Diceros bicornis minor: one gene and its partner. The protein of the gene in region 1 interacts with the protein of each later gene in a pairwise test. Links are inferred from orthologs where the notes say so. Each region holds a gene or a part of one and is shown in the gene's direction. Other genes may lie near its edges.

The links.
Region 2: the proteins of CKS1B (region 1) and SEPTIN3 interact in binary tests that used the Homo sapiens proteins (3 or more experiments, as listed by UniProt). The two-hybrid records come from large-scale screens. The link is inferred for Diceros bicornis minor from reciprocal best matches to the Homo sapiens genes CKS1B and SEPTIN3.

Annotation. Positions count from the first base shown.
Region 1 is NC_080743.1:58,915,671-58,926,695, forward strand, and holds CKS1B (cyclin-dependent kinases regulatory subunit 1), read left to right. Parts: upstream 1-6,506; 5' UTR 6,507-6,567; coding exon 6,568-6,626; intron 6,627-8,671; coding exon 8,672-8,799; intron 8,800-9,439; coding exon 9,440-9,492; 3' UTR 9,493-9,951; downstream 9,952-11,025. Other genes in the region: SHC1 (SHC-transforming protein 1), read right to left, coding at 118-244, 414-465, 652-705, 974-1,093, 1,229-1,292, 1,823-1,893, 2,468-2,962.
Region 2 is NC_080764.1:8,560,719-8,571,437, reverse strand, and holds the start of SEPTIN3 (neuronal-specific septin-3), read left to right. Parts: upstream 1-6,612; 5' UTR 6,613-6,842; coding exon 6,843-6,852; intron 6,853-10,719. UniProt on the Homo sapiens protein: Filament-forming cytoskeletal GTPase. May play a role in cytokinesis.

The DNA of each region.
Region 1 (11,025 bases):
ACACAGGTTACTTCCTTCCCTGCACCTCTCTGAGCTCAAGTGTGGGAAGAGCAGACCCACTTTCCTAGTTCCGGTCTGGGGCCCAAGAGCTGCCCCACATCCTCCTCACCCACTCACCTGTCATGGGGGGTGACCAGCTTGGGCGGGTTCCTGAGGTATTGTTTGAAGCGCAACTCGAAGGCCTGGCCAATGGTGCTGATGACGTCCTGAGCAAGCCCTTCGGGACACTCCAGGATGTGGCAGGCTGAGGGCACAGTAGAGGCCGTCAGTGAGCTCTGAGGTGGGGTTGCTGGGAGGAGGCGTGGACATGAGCCCTCGTCCTCCTTGGCAGGAGCCCCTGCTTAGCTCCCGGGGTCCTGCTTACCTGCCTCATGGACAGCCAGACCCACCCAGTGCTCCCCACCACGCCTCACCTCTCTGATTGACCGGGTCTTTGGCAACATAGGCAACATACTCGGCTGTGTCCTGGGGTGGACAGAATCAGAAGACGACAGTTAGTTAAATCTTACAGCCCCATCTCACTCCTGACCCCTAAAACCGAGGCCTTTTCAGATATCACCCCAATCCTAGCATGCCCACTTCTCTAGCCAGTGTCTTCCCGATGCCTGGCCCTTTATTTTCCCACCACCTCTGCTCTGTTCCCCAACTCACCGGGTCCCCGCCGGACGCAAACGAGATAGATTGCATGTGGTGGTTGGCAATGATCTGAGGGTTAGGGCAGGGGGTACAAAAGGAAAGGAATGACACGTGTCAGGCAGCCTCAGGGACCATCTGGGTGCCCCCCATCCCTGGCCCAGAGCCCTGGAGGCACAATCTCATTCTTTTGGCTTCTTACCCCATGTCCTCCTAATTTCCTTCTTCCCTACTGTCCTGCTGCACCCAAGCCCTCTCTCCCCATTTCTTGTCCTCATAGCCAGGTCCCTGCTTAGCCCTCCCATCAGTATTTCTGGTCCCCCTGCCCAACCCCACCAACCTGTTTGCAGTCTGCGGCCATGAGGTTGAGGCTGCTGGTGGAGACGGTGAGAGTGATTGGCATTCCAGCAAATTTCAGGTTACTCCTCCCCAGGATGGAGCTGAGCGGGCGGCTACAGGGCTAGGGAAGGGCCCAAGGGTCTTAGAAGCTGGGGGTTCCCAACACCAAGAGACCACCACAATCCTGCCCCCCACCTGCTTTCCCCTGCTCCTCCACATCTCCCAGCAGCACCGCTAGCCCATCGACCCCAGGTACCTTTCTCCTCCTTGTGGCCCCCTTAGCACCCGGCACAGCCTCACACACCAGACTGATGGCCTCCCTGGGGAAAGAGGGGTACTCAGACCCAGGCTTGCCTCCACTTGGCTGGGGCTGCCCCAGGGCTGGGGGAGGGGAAGACCAGGCCAGACTCCCAGGGCACTCCAGGCTCTCTGTCGTGGTGGATTGAATTAAGGGCCTTTAATATTTGATGACACTGAGAGGCCGCTTCCTGGCTGATTGGGTTAGGGCCTCAATGGGTATGGCCCCACCCCTTTCCAGCTACCAAATGTCCCATTCCCTTCCCAAAGGCAGCAGCAACCTTCCATCTACCCCCATTTTCTACTCAAGCTCCAGCTGCCAGCTGCCTCTGCCACCTCCCCCACAGCTCCCCAGGCTGGATAAGTAAGGAGGATCCAGGCCAGAGTTGCCTCTTTTCATTCAGACTTAGACTTACTCCCCTAACTTTCTCTCACTCCCCTTTACCACCCTAAGATAAGCCATCACTAGCACCACCACCAAGTGACCCACTTCCCACCTCCCCGCACTAATCCCAGGACTTCCATAATCCGCCCCCCCCCGCCCCCCACTAACCTGGTGACCTGAGTCCGGGTGTTGAAGTCTAGGGCACGCATTGACTGCAGGACCTCCACACAGCCCATGTACTGAGGGGACGGATGGGAGGATAACAAGTCAGCCGCCTCCCCCCAACCCCTTCAAAGGGCCCTAGGACTTTCCCCTACGTTGTCCCTAAGGGAAGTAAAGATGAAGTTCTGCCCACTGCCCGTGGCTACATCCCACAACATGCAAGACAACAGGGAATGAGGGGAAAAGGAAAGGGCAGGCTAGGAGGACCTCATGCATCTGGGAAGAGAATTTGGAGGGGAGTGACAGGCATTAGGTGGGATGGAGTGACATCTCCAGAAAGGGGGAGGAGACTGGAGGGGACAATCAAGAGTCACTCATTCCAACACTTACTAAGGCCTTCAATGTGCTGGGCATTGTGCTAAGCATGGCAGGGCGGGGGTGGGAGAGTCACAAGAAGGAAGGGGGCCCAGGCAGAGCTGGAAAGGAAGGGACTACAGAATTGGAGGAGGGGCAAGAAAGGTTTAACAAACAGGACACTGAAACCAAGGGAGTTGTTGGGGGAGAGCAGGAAAAAAAGACTCCAGCTTTGCTGAAGTGAGCAGAGGAACTGCAGGGGTCTGGGAGGGAGTAGGAGGGAAGATGTTCACTCACCCGAACCAAGTAGGAAACCCCCGGTCCCATGACTTTGTCGTTGGGATGCAGCCAGCCCCGCGTGGGCTTATTGACAAAGCTCCCGTGGCGGGTCCACTCCTCGCCCCCCAGCTGGCCCCCTTCCACCCGAGTCCTGCGCCCGCCGCCTCCACTCAGCTTGTTCATGTCCTGGAGGAGGGGCAGGGGGCCTGAGTCCGGCATGGCTGCCCCTAAGATCCCCTCCCCATCCTCGGCTGCCCTTCCTGGCTCCCCCTTGGGCCCCGGGCGCCCCCCAGCCGGATTGGCCAGCTTCAAGTTGCTCATCCGGGGGAAGAAGGAGCACAGGGTAGTGGGACTATCGTCTCCAGGCAGAGGTGGCAGGATGGGCCCCAGGGATGAGGCTGATGGGGAAGGCAGCTCCTCCGGTGGGGTGGACCCTGAAGCCCCCTCCTCCAGCGATGACAGAGACTCATTCCGAAGTGGGTTGTACTTGGGCTTGGGGGGCAGGAGATCCATGGCTGGAGTGAGAGGGAGGCTGCTGCCCAGCCCGGCCCCCCTGCCAGTCAGGGCAAGGGGGCCAGGCAGGGGGCATCCCCAGGCCTTTAGCCTGATCGGACCTCTATGGCCCAGAGATCTCAGGGGTCCTGGGAAGGGAGAGGGACGAGTGGCTCTGGCTCCCCCGCTCAGACCCAGACAGTTTCAGGCCCCATCTATGCCCAGCGTGGAGCCTCTTCTCTGGCTGAGAGGAGAGAGACCAGGCTGGACCTAGAGCTGCCTGGCTCCTCCCCAGGGGCGGGGAGCTAAGGGGAGAGACCAATCCCGAGGACAGTGCTGACTCACAGGCTCCGAGGGGCTGAGCCCCCACCAGTGCCCCAACCTAGAACCCTTGCAGGGGTAGAACTCTCCATGCCCCCCTGCCCCATACAAACAATTAGTAATCTGGGGAGGAGTAAAGTGGGAGTGGGTGTGGGAGGGAAGGACGGAGGAGTGAAAGGAAAGGAGGGAGATAAGAGGAGGTCTAGATCAATCCAAACCGGACATGGGCAGGCCAAAGGGAGCAGGAAGCTGAGGGAGGGTAGAGGGGAATGAGGGAGGAAACAGAGACAGCTGGGGGTGGAAAAGGGAGGGGATCCCTGAGCTCAGCATTTCCCTTCCTATCCTGGTTGAACACTCAAATTCCCCCATCCTCCAGCCCAGGCCACCCCCCACCACTACCACACAGTGGGGTGGTGGCCCCAGGGAGCCTGGGCCATTAGCATCCTCTGTTACAACAGCTGTGGACTGGAGCTAAAGAAACGGGAAAGGAAGGAAGTGGTCCCAGCGGATGCAGAGGGGCCAAGAGGAAGGGCAAAGCTGGTGAAGTAAGGAAAATAACATCCAACCTGGGCGGTGCATCAGGGAGCCACCAGGCAGGAGCTGGAGCAGAGGACAGGCTGAGGGAGCCTTGTTCTCTATGCATGGCACCTACCATGCCAAGGAGCAGCGGCCCACGGCCAAGCACTCTTCTGTCCCTCCTTTCCACAAGCCTCATTAGCAAAGCAAGCTGTCAAGGGTAGAAGGGAGGTGGGGGGGTGGGCAGGGCACTGACACTAAGCTCAGCTCCCTGGACTTGCCAGGTATGCTCACACTCCTCCTGTAGTGTGACTGGGGAGGGTGCAGGTGTCCACCATAGAGCACAGTGCCCCTCACATCAGGGGCAGGATCTGGCCAGAGGAGGTGGGAAAGTGAAACAGTTCTCCAAGAGAAGTGGGTGCTACAGGCCATGAAGGGATAGAGGGGACAGAAGACAAATCTATGCTAAGTACGGGAGAAAAGGGTGACAGGAGAAGATGGGCTGATGCTGGACACAGGGAACAGTCCCAAACTCATTCCTTCCACCCACACTTCCTGCCACAGCTCTGCTTCAAGGGGCCATGGAGGAAGTTGGAAAGTAACCAAAAAATAAATAGTAAAAAATACATTTACCTCCCAGGCTCACCTCGGAATTACTCTACTCTTAGATTTACTTCAGAAGATAAAAATTCACAAATAATCATAAGATTATAGTGATTGCCACTACTAGCACTTAAAACGTGTTAGACACTGTGCTAAACTCTTTCAGCTCCCCTTGGTCCTCATCCAAGGAGAGTTTTGTCACTCCATCTACCACTCCTGAGAAGGAATTCTATCACTGCTTTTCCTAAGGCCTCTGCGCTCAGGGACAGAGAGAATGAAGAAAGGATTCTGCCATAGGCTCACACCCTCAACTCACACACACCAGGATGTCCTCATCTTTAGAGATTGGCGTTCTGTGGGAGCCTGCAGGATCTAGAGGCAGGGAATGGCCAACAGGTGTGGGTATTTGGAAGAAAAGAAAGAGGAAGTAGGGCTCCTAACATTTGCATAGGAAAAAAGGAGATTGCCTACTGGGAGTCCCAGTGATTGGGTGAGGGGCAGAAGCTGCGTGTGGCTTCTCAGCCCAGCAGGGAGGAGGAGGCAAGAGCAGTGGGAAGTAGCAGGAAATGGCGAAAGCCTCAGGAATGTTTCCAGAAGGGAAGGCTGGGTAAGCGGGACCAGGAGGAATGCCCAGACAATAACTCTGGTTAGGAGAAGGGGAAGAGCCAGAGAAGTGGTGGGGGCTGAGGAGTCCCTTAAAAGAATCAAACAGCAAAAAAGGACACTGTCCCCTACACCCACTCCAAGCTACCGTTTTCTGGTGGTAGAAAACTTTCGCTCCCGTCACACACCAGCAAATCCATGGCCCCACCCAGCTCCCGAGGTACAGGTATGAGACACAGCTGTTTCTGGGGTGGAGTCAGTCCTGGGAAGGGAAACTCAGAGTGGGGCTGGGAATCTATGAGCAAGTCTCTCTCCCACTCTCTTGCCAAACCCCAAGTCCAGCCCCCTTCAAGTAGGTCCAGCCTTGGAAGGGGGTAAGGGAGAGGAAAACGGCTGCCTCTAATCTCGCACTCCTCAGAGCCAGCGTTGGGAACTTTGACTTCCCACGCGGTGGAGCATGAGAGCTCAGGAAACTGAGCCCAATGCCCAAAAGAGAAACAGGTGGAGCTTCTGGGATTGAAGACAAAGCTTCTAAGGCGTGACCTGGGTCCCACAGGGATAAAGCTCCTGAGGGGGCGTGGTCCCCTAGCACGCGTGCATCAGACACTTCTAGGAGACGAGGCTTCTGGACAATCAGATGTAGATTGAGGAAGGGGCGGGGCTTCTAGAGGGGCGGCGCCCATAGGGAGGCGTGGCTTCACGAATTCGAATACAGTAGTTCTGTGAGGGGCAGGGTTTTGCGCTTTTGGGAGATAGGCTTTTTGATAGGAGTTAGCGGAGAATCGTCGCGAGGAGGCGGAGTTTCGGGGAGTTGGAAGGACTAACGTAAGGCTTCTTGTAGTAGGCCTTGGAAGCGTGTCTGGGGGTGGGACTTCCAGGAAAACTGGGTGACAGGGTGGGGTCCGAGACAATAAATATAAAACAAGTGGGGATTCGGGGAGCCCCCTGAAGTTGGGAGGTGGGACTTCCGGAGAGGGGGTCTTGGGGGCGGGACTTATAGATGAAGACCGGAAGTAGGGTCCCCGGAGAGGGGTTCCGGGGTGGAGGAGTGGGTCATCAAAAGAGAAAAAAAAGTCCCAACTCACCAGGGCCTCATGGAGTCTCCGCACCGCACCGCGGGCAGATTTGGTGCCGGATCACGCCACTGCCTCTTTAGGTCGCCGCTCCAACTTTCTCCCCGGGCCTGGCCTCCCTGGAGAAACTTTATTGCACTCACTTCCGGCCTCACTAACCCCTGACCCTCTACCTCACCGTCCCTCCTTCACCCGTCCCACTTTCCCGAATCAGCCAATGGCAGCGCGAGAACGCGCACGGGAGCAGCGACAGCCAATAAGAGGCCTATTTTTGAGCTACGCTCGTTCTTGAGAAACGTAAGAAGTGCACTCCAATAAGGACTCGAGGAGAAGCAAATCCAAGCCAATCGGAGGCTTGAAGGTGGACTTGTCCCGCCTTAAGCCAAAGGGGCCAATAGGAAGCGCGAGCGGCGTGTTTGAAAGCGAGGCCAAGGAGGGTGGGAGCGCGTGCTGCTGGGAGTTGTTTGGAGGTTGGCGGCGCGGAGCTGGCGGTCTTCAGGCAGAGTGATCATGTCGCACAAACAAATTTACTATTCGGACAAATACGACGACGAGGAGTTCGAATACCGGTTAGTGCTGGCGGGGGGCCATAACGAGGTCGTGAGTTTTGACAAATGAGGACCCAAGGAGTTAGTAACAGGGACTGAAGCGACAGAATCGGCGCATGCGCGGAGGTTAACGGGACGGGCGTGATAGTTGAGAGCGTAAGGCGCATGCGCGAAGGGTGGGCGGTGATTGTAAAAGAAACAAAGTGGTAGTGAATTTGGAGTCGACCCTGTTGGGAGGAGGTGTAGGTGGGCGTGGTTAGAGTGTTAGCTTGCTGACCACCTTCACCTTTGCGGGTTTCTGGAACCTTCAACTTTATTGAGCAAGTTGAACTTGCCCTGACTGCTCGTATCACGGCAACACCATAGAACCTTAGAGCCTACTGGGAAAAGGTGGCAAAGGCGGAGCTCGAATTTTCCTCGCGTCTTCAATGCGAGGGGAGTTCTGAGAGAGCCTGAGTGCTGCTCATTAATTCATGGAAAAGGGACGTAGTTGTCTGGCTTGTTTTAGGAAAGGAGCTTGGAGGAATTGGAGTGGAATAAAACTGGCCAGGAACATTGAAAAAAGACTTAACATGAACCTAATACATGCCCTTCAAATATTTGAAGGGCATCTATTTAGGAAACAATTATGGAGTGCTTATAGGTTTCAGGTGTTCTGCTAAAGTGCAAGGGTAAGCCATGGTCTCTGCTTTCAACAAACCTACAAATCTGTGAAATACTGACAGACTTCAGAAAAAAGTGATAATTGGTATGATAGAGATGGGAGCACCTATGGTAGAGATAGGACTTGGCCAAGGATGGTGAAGAAAGGAATCCCTATGGAGTTTGCATTTGATAAATCCTAAATCCATAATTCTAGATTGGAAAATTAGAGAAGACAAAAATTCTAGAAATGTTGTCATTCCACTAACCTGTATTAGGTGTAATACTTTAAACAACTTCCTAGTTTGTATCTTCTCAACTGAAGAACATAGAATGGAAATTGCTTTTCTTGTGTTTCTTCTCCAACATAATGCAGGGAGAACTCGGTGTGTGCTGACAGATACATAACCATCTTTATGCCAGGTCCTTGGGAAAAGACCCCAGGCTCTGCTTGGATCCAGTTAACTGTCTTCCTCAGCTGTTTTCCTCTACATCTGAGCTAAGCTAACTAAAACTGCCTATAACATCTTTGCAGGACTAGGGAGAAGTCACTAGTTTGATCCTCTGGAAGATGTAAGTCTTGGCAGTGGTATTTTGGCTTAAGAAAGTTGTTTTCTGTTTTGTTTTTTTTTTCCCCTTGGTCTAATTAGGTATTGAAGCCAAACTTTGTGCCAGGGGCTTGTTAGAATATAAGCTATTTTCAGACATTTAGACTAGAATTATCTCTTTGGAAAAATGTCTGTTACTAGCACAGAGAGTGCATTTAGTAAATTTTCACTGAGCGTGATGAAGTTGATCTGGGTTAGCCTGATTGAAGTCAGGGTAATAATTTCTTTGCCATGAAAGAAGACTTATCTTGGTTGGGGGAACATGGAGTTTCCCAAAAGACGTCTCATGGCACATCCCTTCAGAGTTAGGAAAATGAGATTCAGGATATATTTTAAAGGATAAGACATTTGTGTTTCATCCTTTGTGATGGCTGTTCCACACAGCACTCCATAATAGGCCTTTCTTGTCCACAAAATCACCTCTCTCCCCTCCTTACCAATCCTGTTCCAAACCACCTTTAATAATTAATAGTGTGTGTGCTGTGGGGCTCCCATTATATTGTTTTAGGGTAATCAACTGGAAGACTGTAAGCCCTGAGAAGGCAGAGGCAGTGTATCAACATGCCTGGAACTCAGGTGCTTGTTCACTTGGGTTATTCATTAGGTTGTACTTGTTAATATACTTTTGTGAGGATTTACATAACTTGGCCTTTACTTCTAGCTGCCTCTACCCCACAATAAGATTATATAAACTCTTTGCCATCAGAAACCGGTTTCTCTTTTCTTTCCCCTCTTGGCTTTGTATGCAGGCCCTTGTCTAACAGACTGTACCCAGTACTGACACAATTTCCCCACCTTCCCATGTTTCTATTACAGGCATGTCATGTTGCCCAAGGACATAGCCAAGCTGGTCCCTAAAACCCATTTGATGTCGGAATCGGAATGGAGGAATCTGGGCGTTCAACAGAGTCAGGGATGGGTTCATTATATGATCCATGAACCAGGTCAGTGCAAAGGCTGAAAGCAAACATGTAGGACTGCTTCACTGAGAGAATGAAGGGATGATAAGATCGCATAACCCAAAGGAATAGTGGGAAGGGGAGGGTGGTTTCCTGGTTCCTTACCCCATCAGCCAGCTAGAAAAACTGGAGTGACCAAAAATAAGAATAAGAGTGAAGTATCTGCAAAGTTCAGAGACAACCTGTCACTGAAAAACCTCCTTTAATCTCTAATTCAGTTAGAGGGTACTCTTTTTTTTTTTTTTTTTTTTTTAAGGCCACATATACCCTGGTAGAGGTTATGGCTCCTGCTTCATTCTCCATCAGAAAGCAAATTCTTGGATGTGTTCCAAAATAAGCCAAGGAAAGTATATTTATTGATAAGACACCAGACACTAAGCTGCCAGGCAAAACTAATAAAGGACACCCCGGGGCTGGACAAACATAGCAAAAGAGCTGATATTAACAATTCTGTACTTGGCAGACAGGCCAGGCTGCTGGGTCTGCTTCTAAGGCCATATGCTTAAATCTTAATTTAGTTAGAAAGATCTGAGTGGGTGATAGCTGGGAGGTGGGAGTGGGATACACTGTAGGTTGTGCATAGAATGATGTGAGCTTGTCTCTGAGATTCCACTCACTCTTTCAGAACCTCACATCTTGCTGTTCCGGCGGCCGCTCCCGAAGAAGCCAAAGAAATGAAGCTGGCGAGCTGCTTTTCAGCCTCAAGCTTTACACAGCTGTCCTCACTTGCTAACATCTTTCTGATAACATTATTATGTTGCCTTCTTGTTTCTCACTTTGATATTTCAAGGATGTTCAATACACTGTTTGAATGTGCTGGTGACTGCTTTGCTTCTTGAGCAGAGCCAACAGTACCACGGCCCAGCCAGATGAATGCTTTTTGGGCTACAGCCTCAGCTGAGTGTGACCCCAGAAGCCATGTGAGCTCTGTATCCAGCAGAACACACTTGGTTGATGGAGGAAGCATCTGAGAATAAGACCATGGCTGTTACAGGGATTGTGTAAACTTGCTGTTTTGTTTTTTTTTCTGCCAGGTGTTCTATGTATGGTGATTTGTTTCAATGTATTGGAAACTTTCCATTTTATTCAAGAATTCTGTTCCATTTAAAGCCTTGATTAAAGAGGAAGTTTTTATAATCCTAATTGTAAAGGTTTTTCCCCCGTCTCAGGGTGAGCATCACATTCAATATCATGATTCTAATTATCTGCCCTCTTCAGTTAGATAATGAAGCTCAGCTCTTGCTGATATGAGGTTTATTTCAACATTCTACTAACTGGTTTTTAATCTACTTTAAGCAGACTTGCTGTCAAATTGCTACTGAAATATATTACACTCTAACTACCGGCCTAAGATAGAGGTTATATAGGGACAACATCATCTCATCAAAACAAATGAACGGTTTCCTACAGTCAGGGATGCTGCCTTTAACATAGTCCCGACATTTGAAGGGCATACGAATGTAAGGGGAAGAGGCTGTACCCTCTAATTTTAAAAATAACAGTAGTACTAAGTAAGGGAGATTAATCTCCCCCCTTCTCCGTCTTCCATCCATTGTATTCCTAGAGCAGTAGTAAAGTGTGGTCCCTGAACTGGAAGCATCAACATCACCTGGAAACTCATTAGAAATGCATATTCTTGGGCTCCACCCTTGACTTAACTGAATCAGAAATGCTGAGGGTTGGGCTCAGCGACATTTTAACAAGCTCTCCAGGCGCTTCTGGTGCACACTCAAGCTTGAGAACCACTGGTAAAGGATTGGACCAGAGCTGATGTTGGGGGGGGGGGTCAAATATCACCATTACTACTAATAAAGATAATGGAGCATATGACTTATGTCATTAGGCAAATGAGACTTTTTTTAGACCTGAGCTTCTTTTAATTGAAAAAAAACAAGGCTTATTGAGAAAGAATGGTCTAGAAGCCTGGCTCTAGCATTCACTTTAGTGTTTTGTGGCAGTTGTCTGGCATCCCTTCACCTTTCTAAGCCTGCTGCCAATCTGTAAAATGGGCATCATTTCAGAGGATACTGAGAAGAGTGAAATGAGGCCAGTTGTGGTTCAGCAGTCCTCCAAATGATGAATGAATTGTAGACCTTTACCACAGAAAACAGTCTCAGACCAGAAGCATCAACGTGACATGAGAGCTGGTTAAATGCAGATCTCTGACCCCACCCAAACCTGAATCCGGGAGATTTAATCAGCATATTTAAA
Region 2 (10,719 bases), on another chromosome or scaffold:
CCATCATTATTATTACTATTGGTATGATAAAGGCAGCCCAGGGTGCTGTGGGAACAGAGAAGAGGGCCCCCAGCCCGGGTGGGCAAGACAGCCTGAGGGTCACAGTCTAAATGGTGTGCAGGCAATGCAGAGGGAAAGCAGAAATGAGGTTGGCGCTGGGATCATCAGTGTGGCCATATTTGGAGTAGCCCTAGTCTTACTGGAGACATCTCTCCAGGGCTCAGAGTCTGTGGGGGACAGAGCAGATTTAGGGAGGGCAGGCAGCAGGGCACCACCCCCCAGGGGGCCTTGAGTCCAGGACAGCCCAGCTGGGTTGTTACAAGCCTCCCATGGCCCTTCAGGATTCCAGAGGCTCAGAGCAGCCATTCACTGACGCCCACTGCTGAGAAGCCAGCCCCTCCCTGCCCCAGAGCCCAGCCCAGCCAGGGATGTAGCCGGTGGGACAGGTCAGGAGAGGGATGGGCCCTAAGCCTGGGGACTGTGGCCTGGAGGCTGAGTGGAAGCCCATGAGGGGGCCAGAGGGACAAGGACCCTGAGCTGGTCACCGTGGCCAGACTCTGGGCACAGAGGAGGTGAGGGGCCCACATCAGTCTGAGGACTGAGGACTACTGGACTTTTCTTGTTTTCTGATCAAGGTAGGTGGGTATTTGTGTGGCGGGGAGGGATAGGACCAAGGGATGGATGGGGTGGGGGCTGTAGGCTCAGTGAGGGGATGGGGATTTGGTGACGTTAGGACAAATAGATCTCAGAGGTCCTGTCCTCTGGCCTGCTATCTGTGTGTGGGTGTGCACATCAAGGGTAGATGTTTGTGGTTAAGCGCAGGGTAAACGTGCACGTGCCCAGGTATGTGTGGTTGAGAATAAGGGCAGGAGGTCAGGGCTGCAGGGACATGTCAAGTGGGGAGGTGATGGAGGCTGGCACAGTCTTGGGTACAAGTATGTGGCTGGAGAGGGATGAGGGGCTGGGACGGCACTGTGAGGGATGATGCAGACCCCCTGCTCCAGACCTTAGGGACCTGGCTACAGGGTCATCTCCCCTCTCCCACGAATCCCTCCCGCTAGCCCTGGCCCGGCCCTCGAAGCATCATTTCCCAGCCTGCTATGTTGAAAGCAACAGAAACAACTTTGTTCCAACCAGTAAATTATATGGAGCCCAGGGTGCACACCAGCTGGTCATCTTGGGGCCCTGGAGCCCCTCTCGGGAATGGCTCATCCCCACAGACCACCAGCCAGAGTCCGCAGGCCGCTTCTCTCCTCAGCTCCAGGTGGCTCATTGTATCTACCCCAGTGCTGCGCCGCCTTCTCCAGGACCACCCCGGCCACAGAGTGTTTCAAGAGTGTCCGCACCACTCTCCTTGCTTCACTTCTGTGCCCCTCTGATCCTTCTTTCACACTGCCCCGGAGGACCGTTCCCACTTGCAGATGCAACCAGGTCATCTTCCAGGGCCTGAGCATCGTTGTGGCCTGGCCTGGGCTGCAGTGCACCTGTGGCCTTGTCTCCCCCTCACCCCTGATACAGCCTAGGAGCCCACGGTGGATTTTCAGAAGGATGCCACACTTCCTCACTTTTGGGCCTGCCATGTGAATTACCCCAGCCCCAGGCCCAGCCTCTCTCTCTTTTGACACCAAAGACTGAGTTAATGCTTCCCCTCAATGCTCCCTGCCCCCGGCGTAGTCCTGCCTGCTTCACCACCTGGCCGGGTCCCCAGGGGCAAGGACTGTGGTGTCCATTGGACAAGTCTCCTCCTGCGAACACTTGTTACTCCACTTCCCCAGCCTCCCCTTCTCCAGAGCCCTCTTCAGCTCTGGCCCTGATTCTGGCTCTCCTTCTGGCTCCAGCAGCAGGCCAGCCCAGGGCTCTTTCCTGGTTCTGGGTAGGAGCCCCAAACGCAGACCCTGTTCCCAAGCCAAACTGGTCATCCCTTAGCCTCCTACCTGGATGCCTGAACTCCTATTTTGGCTGCTGTGGGTGGGAACCCAGAGCCTTCTAGCCCCTTCTGGAAGAGACAGAGGCAGACAGGCTTCCAATAACCACCACCCTCCTCCAGGGTCCCTTGAACAAGGCCCCTTCAGACTTGGCAGTGCTTTTTTTTTTTGCACCTCTAGGCATTTGTGTTTTTGATAACTAGTATAAAACTCAAGCCATTGAGGATCCCACAATTTTATATCCTGATATATTGTCTGTTTTCTCATTGTTAAAAATTACATTTAGAAATTAAGCTTTTATATACATATATTTAGCAATTTTTAAAATTATCAAGTGAACCTCAATTTTAAAAACTATTTCATAACTTAGAGGCTTTATAATATTAAAATAATAAATTATGCCCTAATGAACAATTACTGTATAACATTTCATATGATTTAAATATTTTGCCTTTTAAAATAATGACTTATTTTACAAGACCCTGGCAAACACTGACAAGTAAAAATGAATTTGCTACTTAGCAAAGAAGTTGTCATGCTTTTTATTAACTAGGAATCAAAGAAATGCAAACTGAGCACCTCACCCCTGCGTGGGCCCTTCTCTGTTGATTCCTCAGGGGAAGACGAAAGACCTGGATGGACCACGATTTTGAGATGCAGCCTCACAGACCCTCCAGCCCTGGAAACTCCATCTCCCGCAACCACCTACTGGGGCGTCCTGCCCACCCCTCAAAGCTCCCTGGAGGGGTGTCCCCCCTCATCCCTGTCCTCAGGAAGACCATCCGTCTGGATGCCTTCCCCCAAAGCCACATCCCACAGACTTCCAGCCGACCGGGCCTTGGAGCCAGAGCCCGGAGTGTGTCCCCACAGGAGACTGGTAATAGCCTTGGGCCCAGGAAGCTCAGCTCCATCTCCTTAACGCTCCGTCAGAACAGCCAGGCATGGTCCCTGGGCCCCCTACCCTCTCACTGGGAAGAGTTGCCCACCCTGGGCAGGGAGGCTGCCACTCATGGAGGAGGGAGGCTGTCCACTCCAGGCTCACGGTCCGTGACCTTAGTGCCAGGGGGCAGAGTCCACTCTGAAGGCCCAGGGAACCCAGGTCTGGCCAAACCCAGTAGGATGCCCATAGTGGAGAAGCCCCTAGTGAGTTCCTACCTGGCCCTACCATTCCAATCCCGGTTAGCCCAGAATCCTCTAGGCCCTTCAGGGTCAGGCTCGGTGGTTCAGAGGCACCCTGTCCCAACAAGTGCCCATGTGCCTACCAGAGCTTCCCCAGGAAGAGGCAAGCCCCGGTCCAGGGGTATCCCGAGACCCCGGCTGCATCTCCAAAGGGCCACCCCCACCATGGGGCCTGCGACGGCCGTGGATTTGGCTACTCTGGACACAGTGAGGTCAGGCACAGCCAGACATTTAGCTACAATGGCCACCAACAGACCTAGCTTGGCTATCAATTTGGCCACACCAAACACATCCAGACTGGACACAGGCATGGAGTTCCCTGCTCTGGATACCAAACTGGGCACAGCCATCGCCTTGGCTACAGCAGGCACAACCAAGCCGGGCATGGTCACGGACTTGGTAACCCCAGAGCCAGGCAAGCTGGGCAAAGTCATAGCTACAGCAGGCACAGCCAAGCCAGATACAACCACAGGGGGCACAGCTGTGCATTTGGCAGCACCAGACCCAGTCAAGGTGGACACAGCCAGGCCAGACACAGCCATGGCTTTGGCTAGAGCAAATACAGCCAAGTTGGACATAACTACGGATTCTCTTGCTCTGGACACAAGGAAGCTGGGTACAGCCATGAGTTTGGTTGTGCCAGTCACTCCAGACCCAGCCACTGGGGAGACCACACTGGACAGTGTCATTAACCTGACCACATCAGCCACCTACACACTGATGCCAAGCAGAAGCATAGCACCAGCCCTGGACCATGCGACAGCAGATGCTGCCACAGACTGGGCCACAGAGCCCGCCACACTGGACCTGGCCAGAGAAACCAAAGGTAAATGCAAAGAGCTTGGCTGGGGATGCACTGGGCTGCTGTGGGGGGATGGGGGGGTGGGGGTGGCGGTTATGGGCCTGGAGATGGATTATGCTTGGATCAATTGGAAAGGGAGGGGGAACTCAAGGTTCAGAGTCTTCAGAGTCAAATGCACTGGGGGAAAAGGGAACAGGGTTGAGGGACAGAACACGGGATACACCCTGAGCTGGGTCTCAACCTGCCAGCTTGAGGTCAGATTGAGGGAAGCTACCAGAATGAAGGTTTATGGGGTAACTTGTGGAGGAGCAATTATGCTCATTTTTTTTTTTTTTGTGAGGAAGATCAGCCCTGAGCTAACATCCATGCTAATCCTCCTCTTTTTGCTGAGGGAGACCGGCTCTGAGCTAACATCTATTGCCAATTCTCCTACCTTTTTCTCCCCAAAGCCCCAGTAGATAGTTGTATGTCATAGTTGCACATCCTTCTAGGTGCTGTATGTGGGACGCGGCCTCAGCATGGCCGGAAAAGCGGTGTGTCGGTGCGCGCCCAGGATCTGAACCCCGGCCGCCAGTAGCGGAGCGGCGCACTTAACCGCTAAGCCATGGGGCTGGCCCCATGCTCATTCTTTTAGTATCTTCCATGGTTGTTTCTTTGTTCCCCGAAGAGCAGGAACGATCAGGTGATCTATAGGTGAGTCCAGCTTTAAAAGCAAACCATCTCCATTAAAACACAGACCAGCACCTCAGTAAGTGGTGATTTGTCTAAAAGACATCCCTGCAGCACTCCTCTGGATGTCAACAGTGACCTCACCTGAGACCTGCTAAATCACGCACATTCAGTATTTTGGGAAAATAGTTGTTGCGTGTAAAAGGTGCCTGACCTGGAATTCTCTTTCTTGGGCCTCTACCCCCAGCCCTTTAGTCCTGAAAGGTGAGTTGGAGACTGGGAGATGTGAAAATCCTCCATAGAACTATAAATAGGTCAACACAAGGGCTACAAGTTCATTTGGTCTCAGAGAGGCTGTGACATGTCTAAAGTCACACAGCTTGTTGGTGGCAGTAAGCTAATGGGAACCCAGGTCTTGGAATTCTACTTTGGGCAGTCTCATTCCCGACATTTCAAAGGCTCAGAGATTCTGGATCTGGTAGATGCTTGGAAGGCATCCAGTCCAATGCCTTAATTGGGTCTTGGGTTGTCAGACTCCTGTGCATTGCACTCTGCACACTGTCTGGGGGAGCTCCCCCAGGCTCTGGTCTTCACTTCTCCCTCAGCAACCTCAGCTCTCCCTCCATCTTCAGCCCAGACCCCTCTCCTGAAATGCAAATGTGGACAGCTAGCAGCCTGCTGGACCCTCCACCCAGATGTCTCTTGAGCATGTCCAGAGGCAGCCCTTTTCTCTCTGAACTGACTCCTGCCTTCCTGATCTCGCCCTCTCAGCTGCAGGCACCGCCACACCAGATACCTGGGTATCCTCTTCCTCATCTTACTCGCTCCTCATCTCATCCAGTCTATTTGCAAGTCTGTTGATTCACCTCCTCAGTGCTTGGCTGTCTGTTTCCTCCTCGCCATCCCTCTGTCCAGTGTTTCCACAGCCTCCCCCCCCCCGCATTTCCCCCAGTGCTCTCCCTCATCCACACAGCTGCCACAAGGACCCACATATTTGATGGCAGCACTTTCGGCTTCACGGCCGTTGGTGACTCACCATTGTCTTTCCTTAAAGCCCAAGTCCTTAGCCTGGCTTCTAAGGCTTCGGACTTCTCCAAACTCTTAGCTCTATATCCCTGTTTGGAATTTTCCCTGCTTCAGCTGCACCAGGAGCTCTGAGTTGTCCACTCACACCCTGCAGCTCTCACCTCTGGGTCTCCTCACCCCTGCTGCCCCCTCTCCACAGAGTGCCCTTCCCTTCTTCTCTCTCATCTCTGTATTTGCCTTTCCATCTTGTCCCTCACATCCTCCAAGAAATCTGCCCAAATGCCTCTCTTCCCAGGATGCCCACCTCCCTGCACTCACAGTACCCCCTGCCTACCCCACCCCACTGCATTAGGACAGTCCAGCTTGCTGTCTCTCTGGTTAGACCTAGAGCCCTTTGTGGATGAGGATGGTGGTCCTCATCCCTGTCCCCCCAGGGCCTGGCAATATGCTGTCCATTATTGTTGACTAACTGCATGAAAGATTTTTCTGATGGGTAAATTGAGGCTCAGGAAAGTTCCTGACCAAGCTCAAGGTCACAGGGCTCATCATTCCCGGAGCCAGGCCTGGAACCCGGTCCCCTGACTCAGGGCTCTACAGCCGCCCGCGCCGGGACAGGACCGCGCTGAGCCAGCGCCAACATCCCAATCAGCGCGTGACTCGCGCGCGCATCGCCGCCCGCTGCTGCCGGCGGTCCCCTGCGACCCCCGCTCCGCCCCAGCCTAAGGGGTAAGAGGCTGGGAGCAGGATCCAGCGGGAGGGACCAGGTTGGGATGCGGGCGCTTTCCCCGGCCCGGCATCCCGAGCCTGCAGGCACAGCGCCCCCGCGCGCCTCCCCGGCCGCCCGCAGCCAGGACCGGGGGCCGGCTCCGGCGTGCGGACGGGCAGGGAGCGGGTGCGGGCGCGGGCGCGGGCGGGGGAGGGGCCCTCGGCGGGGCCGGCGGGCGCGCGGGTCACGTGGTGCGGGTGGCAGCAGCGGCGGCGGGGGCGGCGGCGGCATCGGTGCGCGCGGGCAGGGGCAGCGCGGCGCCGAGCGAGCGGAGGCGAGGTCCCGAGCGGGCGCGGCGGCGCGGGGCGCAGGGGCGGCGCGGCCGGGCGGCGGGCGGGGCGGGTGAGCGGAGAGCGCCAAGGGGCGAGGCCCGGCTGCAGGGGCCGCTCGGCCCAGGAGGAGTCCGCGCCCCGCGCAGCCTTGAAGCCTCGCTCCCTGAGCATCTTCCCGGAGGAACGGAGACAAAGAAGGATTCATGTCCAAAGGTAGGGCGGCCGGCTCGGCCACCGGCGACCGCCGGGAGGAGGCTGCGGCCCGGAAAAGCCCGGCTGGAGGTGCTACCAGGGGGAGGGTTGCTGCGCCAAGGAGCCCACGCGCGGTGACATAGGCACGGACACACGCACACACGGTGGCACACATTCCAGGATATACATGCCCGCAGAAATGCACACACGGGCAAATGGGGAGATACAGAGACCTACGGACACGCAAGCATGGACCCAGATGCGCGCAGAAAGACCCATGCTGGAGCACACCAAGACACGCACACACATGCACACCACGCACAGGTATCAGGGCCTACCGCCAGACGAGGGACCTGTGCTCTGACACAGACCCCTTCCCCCACACAGACAGGCGCACACTGAGACAGGCACCAGCTGGTGGTCTCCAAGGGAACTCCTTGGCCTCCGGAGGACTGGGATGGGGGAAGGAGGTGTCCCAGGGCCCTTTGCTCCTGCGAATGGGAAAGGAATAAGATATCTTTTGTGATTCTTTTTCTGAGAGCCAGAGCTGGAGCTGGGGTGGACTGGAATTGCCTTTGCTTGTGGGGGCGGGGTCTTGAAGGCTGCTAGGGGCTGGGGGCTGGGGAGGATCTCCGGCTTAGGAAGGAAGAACCTCCCCACCGTCCCACCCCCACTAAGCCACGGAGGCAGGTGCTATTCTGGAAAGGTTCCTCCCCCTGCTGCCACCTTCCCAACTGAGGGGTGGGGTTCCTGGGCTAGACAAAGACAAAGCCATTCATTTACTTATGAAACATAGCACCGGGGGCCTTGCTTGGCATGGGGATGGAGGGGTGCTATTTCTGTGGGGGACTCAGCCAGAGCTGAGTCAGGGGGACAGTGCCTCTCCCTGGAGCACTGATGGGGCAGGTGGCTCCTGGCAGGGGATGCTGCAAACAGATCACCTCCTCTCCAGGGGCTCTGGGAGAGCTGGAAGCATCTATCCAGGATGGCATACTTGAGCTACATCCTGCTGTGATCCCATCCTGAGCTCTTCCCCACTTGGGGAGCACCCCTCCAATCCCTGTTGCAGGGGAGGGAGAAGGTCTCTCTTAACAGAGTCTACCGCCTTAGCTGTGTCCTACACGAGAGCAGTTTGCTGGCTGGGGGTCAGCTGCTCTGCAAAGGGCTCAGCATCTGAGGGAGGAGAAAGATGATGGGTCTAAAATGACATCTGCCTCCCTATGAGGCATTCATTCATTCATTCATTCATTGCTGAGTGCCTCTGTTACGCTAGGTACATTGGGGCACAGAGATCAATGAGACGTGGCCTCTGCCCTGAAGAAGGCTGGGAACTAGCATATGTTCAATGCCAGGTAATTTATGTCCGTGCTTTTGTATCACCTTCACAGCAATCCAGCAAGGTAGGTACTATCCACATTGTCCTGAGGAGAAAACTGAGGCTTATAGGGGTCACCTAGCCAGCAGTCAAGCCTGGGTCAGCTGCCCATTTGAGGATGGCATGGTGGGAGCAGAGGAGCTGTGGGGGCAGAGGATGGAGCCACACAATCAACTCCAGAGCAGCATTTGTCCTGGGCCCTGGATGTCTTTGTGTACTTGTCAGTGGGACCTTGGGGGCAAGGACCTTGTCTAGGGTCCACAAGTGTCCTTGGCATTTAGTCTGGGGTTTGGCTGGATTAGGCTCCCATTTGACAGCATATGAAATGGCCTGGATGGGATGGAATGAATGAATGAATGAATGGATGAATGAATTTATTGAGTACCAAGGTACTCAGGGGGCCAAGGCAGCACAGAAGAGGGGCGTCCACATCAGACATGAAAGCAGAGGCTTTCCTGAGGGGTGGTACTTGGGCTGAGTGGTGAAGAGTAGGAGTTAGTCAGGGGCTGGAGTGGGCAAAGGGTCTTCCAGCAAAGGCTGGGACATAGTGACCCGCCGCATGTTTGCAGGACTTGTGGCTGATGAGTGGTGGCTGTTAGCATGTGACTGGCATGTAATTGGCATATGGTTGGGAGGGGCGACTTGCCAGCAGATGCTTTATACTGTGTGCACATGGATGCCAGTAGGTGCCTGCTGGAAGAATGAAGGTAAGATGGCTCATGTCCTGGACCTGCAGCAGGCCTGCTGGGGCCCCTAGAAGTTGCCTGGGAATCTGGTGGGCAGGCCCCTTCTCGCAACCAGGGTCTGTCTTTTGGGAATGATCTTTTAGAATGCTGCAGTTGACGGGCCAGGGAGGACACACGCTTTATAAGAATACTTACAAAAACTCCCTTAATTAAGTACAAGATTCACTTTCCAGGGCTATAAAATGGGGTAAGACCCCCCCCCCCCCCCCACAAACACACACTTAGATGGATCTATCTCACAACACAGGTTGTGGAGACCAAATGGGCTTGGCTGTAGAGGCACGGGGGGACATGGAAAGGGCCAGCCGTGTCAGCAGCTGTGCAGGGAATATGGGGCATTGCTGGCCCCCATTGCAGGTGTGCTGAGTGGGGCCCAGGAGCCACGTGCGGAGAGTGGAGGAGCAGGCTGGGCTGCTGAGAGTCAGCTGCTGCGGGGCTGAGCCAATCTTGCTGCCGTCTGGCAACAGCTTCCTGGGAAGCAGGAGGGAGCCACGCCAGGCCCTGGGGAGATCCCGAGGCTTTGTCAGATTTGGCTGTGCCTGGGAGTGACAAGGACAGAACAGTTTCCCATTGGGGGAGAGAGTCTTGCCAGGACTGGTGGAAAGACCAGGTGGCAGGGGTATAAGAACAGACTTCTGGCTGGGTTTGGGGGTGGGGGAGGGAGGTACTCCTGTCCCCTCTCCCTCTTGCCCATCTGCTGCTCCATCAATCCTCCCTGTAAGCTCGAGACTCTGCAGGGCCGTAACCATGAACCATAGGATTTTAGAATGGCAGCACTGGAAGGGGTCCTCAAGAGATCGTGAGTCCAATAACTACGCTGTGTAATTAGCATCCGGGGCACCTCCCTCTAACAAGTGTTTTCACATGCTTTGCTTCACTTCCCCTCCTGACAAGCCCGTAAACGTGAAAGGGGGAGAGGCAAGAGGGTCTGGAAGTGTGAGGCGCTGTGCTGGGTGCTTCCAGGCATCGTACCTCATGTAATGCTCACCACAGCCTTCATCATCATCCTAACCATTTTACAGATGAGGAAGCAGGCTCAGAGCGGGGAGGTGGTTCGTCCAAGTCCACAAAGCTGGCAAGTAGTGGAGGCAGGCTCTTTCCACTTTCGACACACACTCATTTTGTGGGTGGGGAAATGGATGCTCTATCCTGAAACTCACCCTGGTGGACAGTGTCCTGATGAGGAATCGCACAGATTTCTCTTGTGTGTGAACATACCCATGATCTGCTAGACCCAGGGGGGGCCTTTCCCTCAGCCTCCCCTTTGTTCTGCCACCCACCATCCAAGATACACTATGTCATCTTAGGCAAGTGACTGCCCCTATATGGGGCTTATCCTCTCTCTCCTGGTCAAAAGGTGAGACTTATTCCTCCCATAGATTTAAAACTATGGCTAGGAGGGTGTCTGGGGTTCCTCAGGGCCCAGACACCCCTAGTTTGCCTCAGTGCTCATGGAACAGAGGGGACACTGAGGCTGGGAGACAGGAGTGGTGCTCACTCTGCAGAGAGTGGGTAGCCCTATTTGCTTCTGAAAGACAAAGCAACTGAAGTCAGTGGCAGACAGTCCATAGATGTTAGGTCCAGTATCCTAAAAGGTCTTTGCCCTTTATTTGGGGAGGCAGGACTCAGGTGAGAATAACCCCAGACATCTCTTAGACCAGTAGTTCTCTACTGGGGCAGTGTTGCCCTTAGGTGACATTTGGCACTGTCTGGAGATATTTTTGTTTGTCACAACTGGGGGGCTACTACTGGCATCTACTGGAGGCC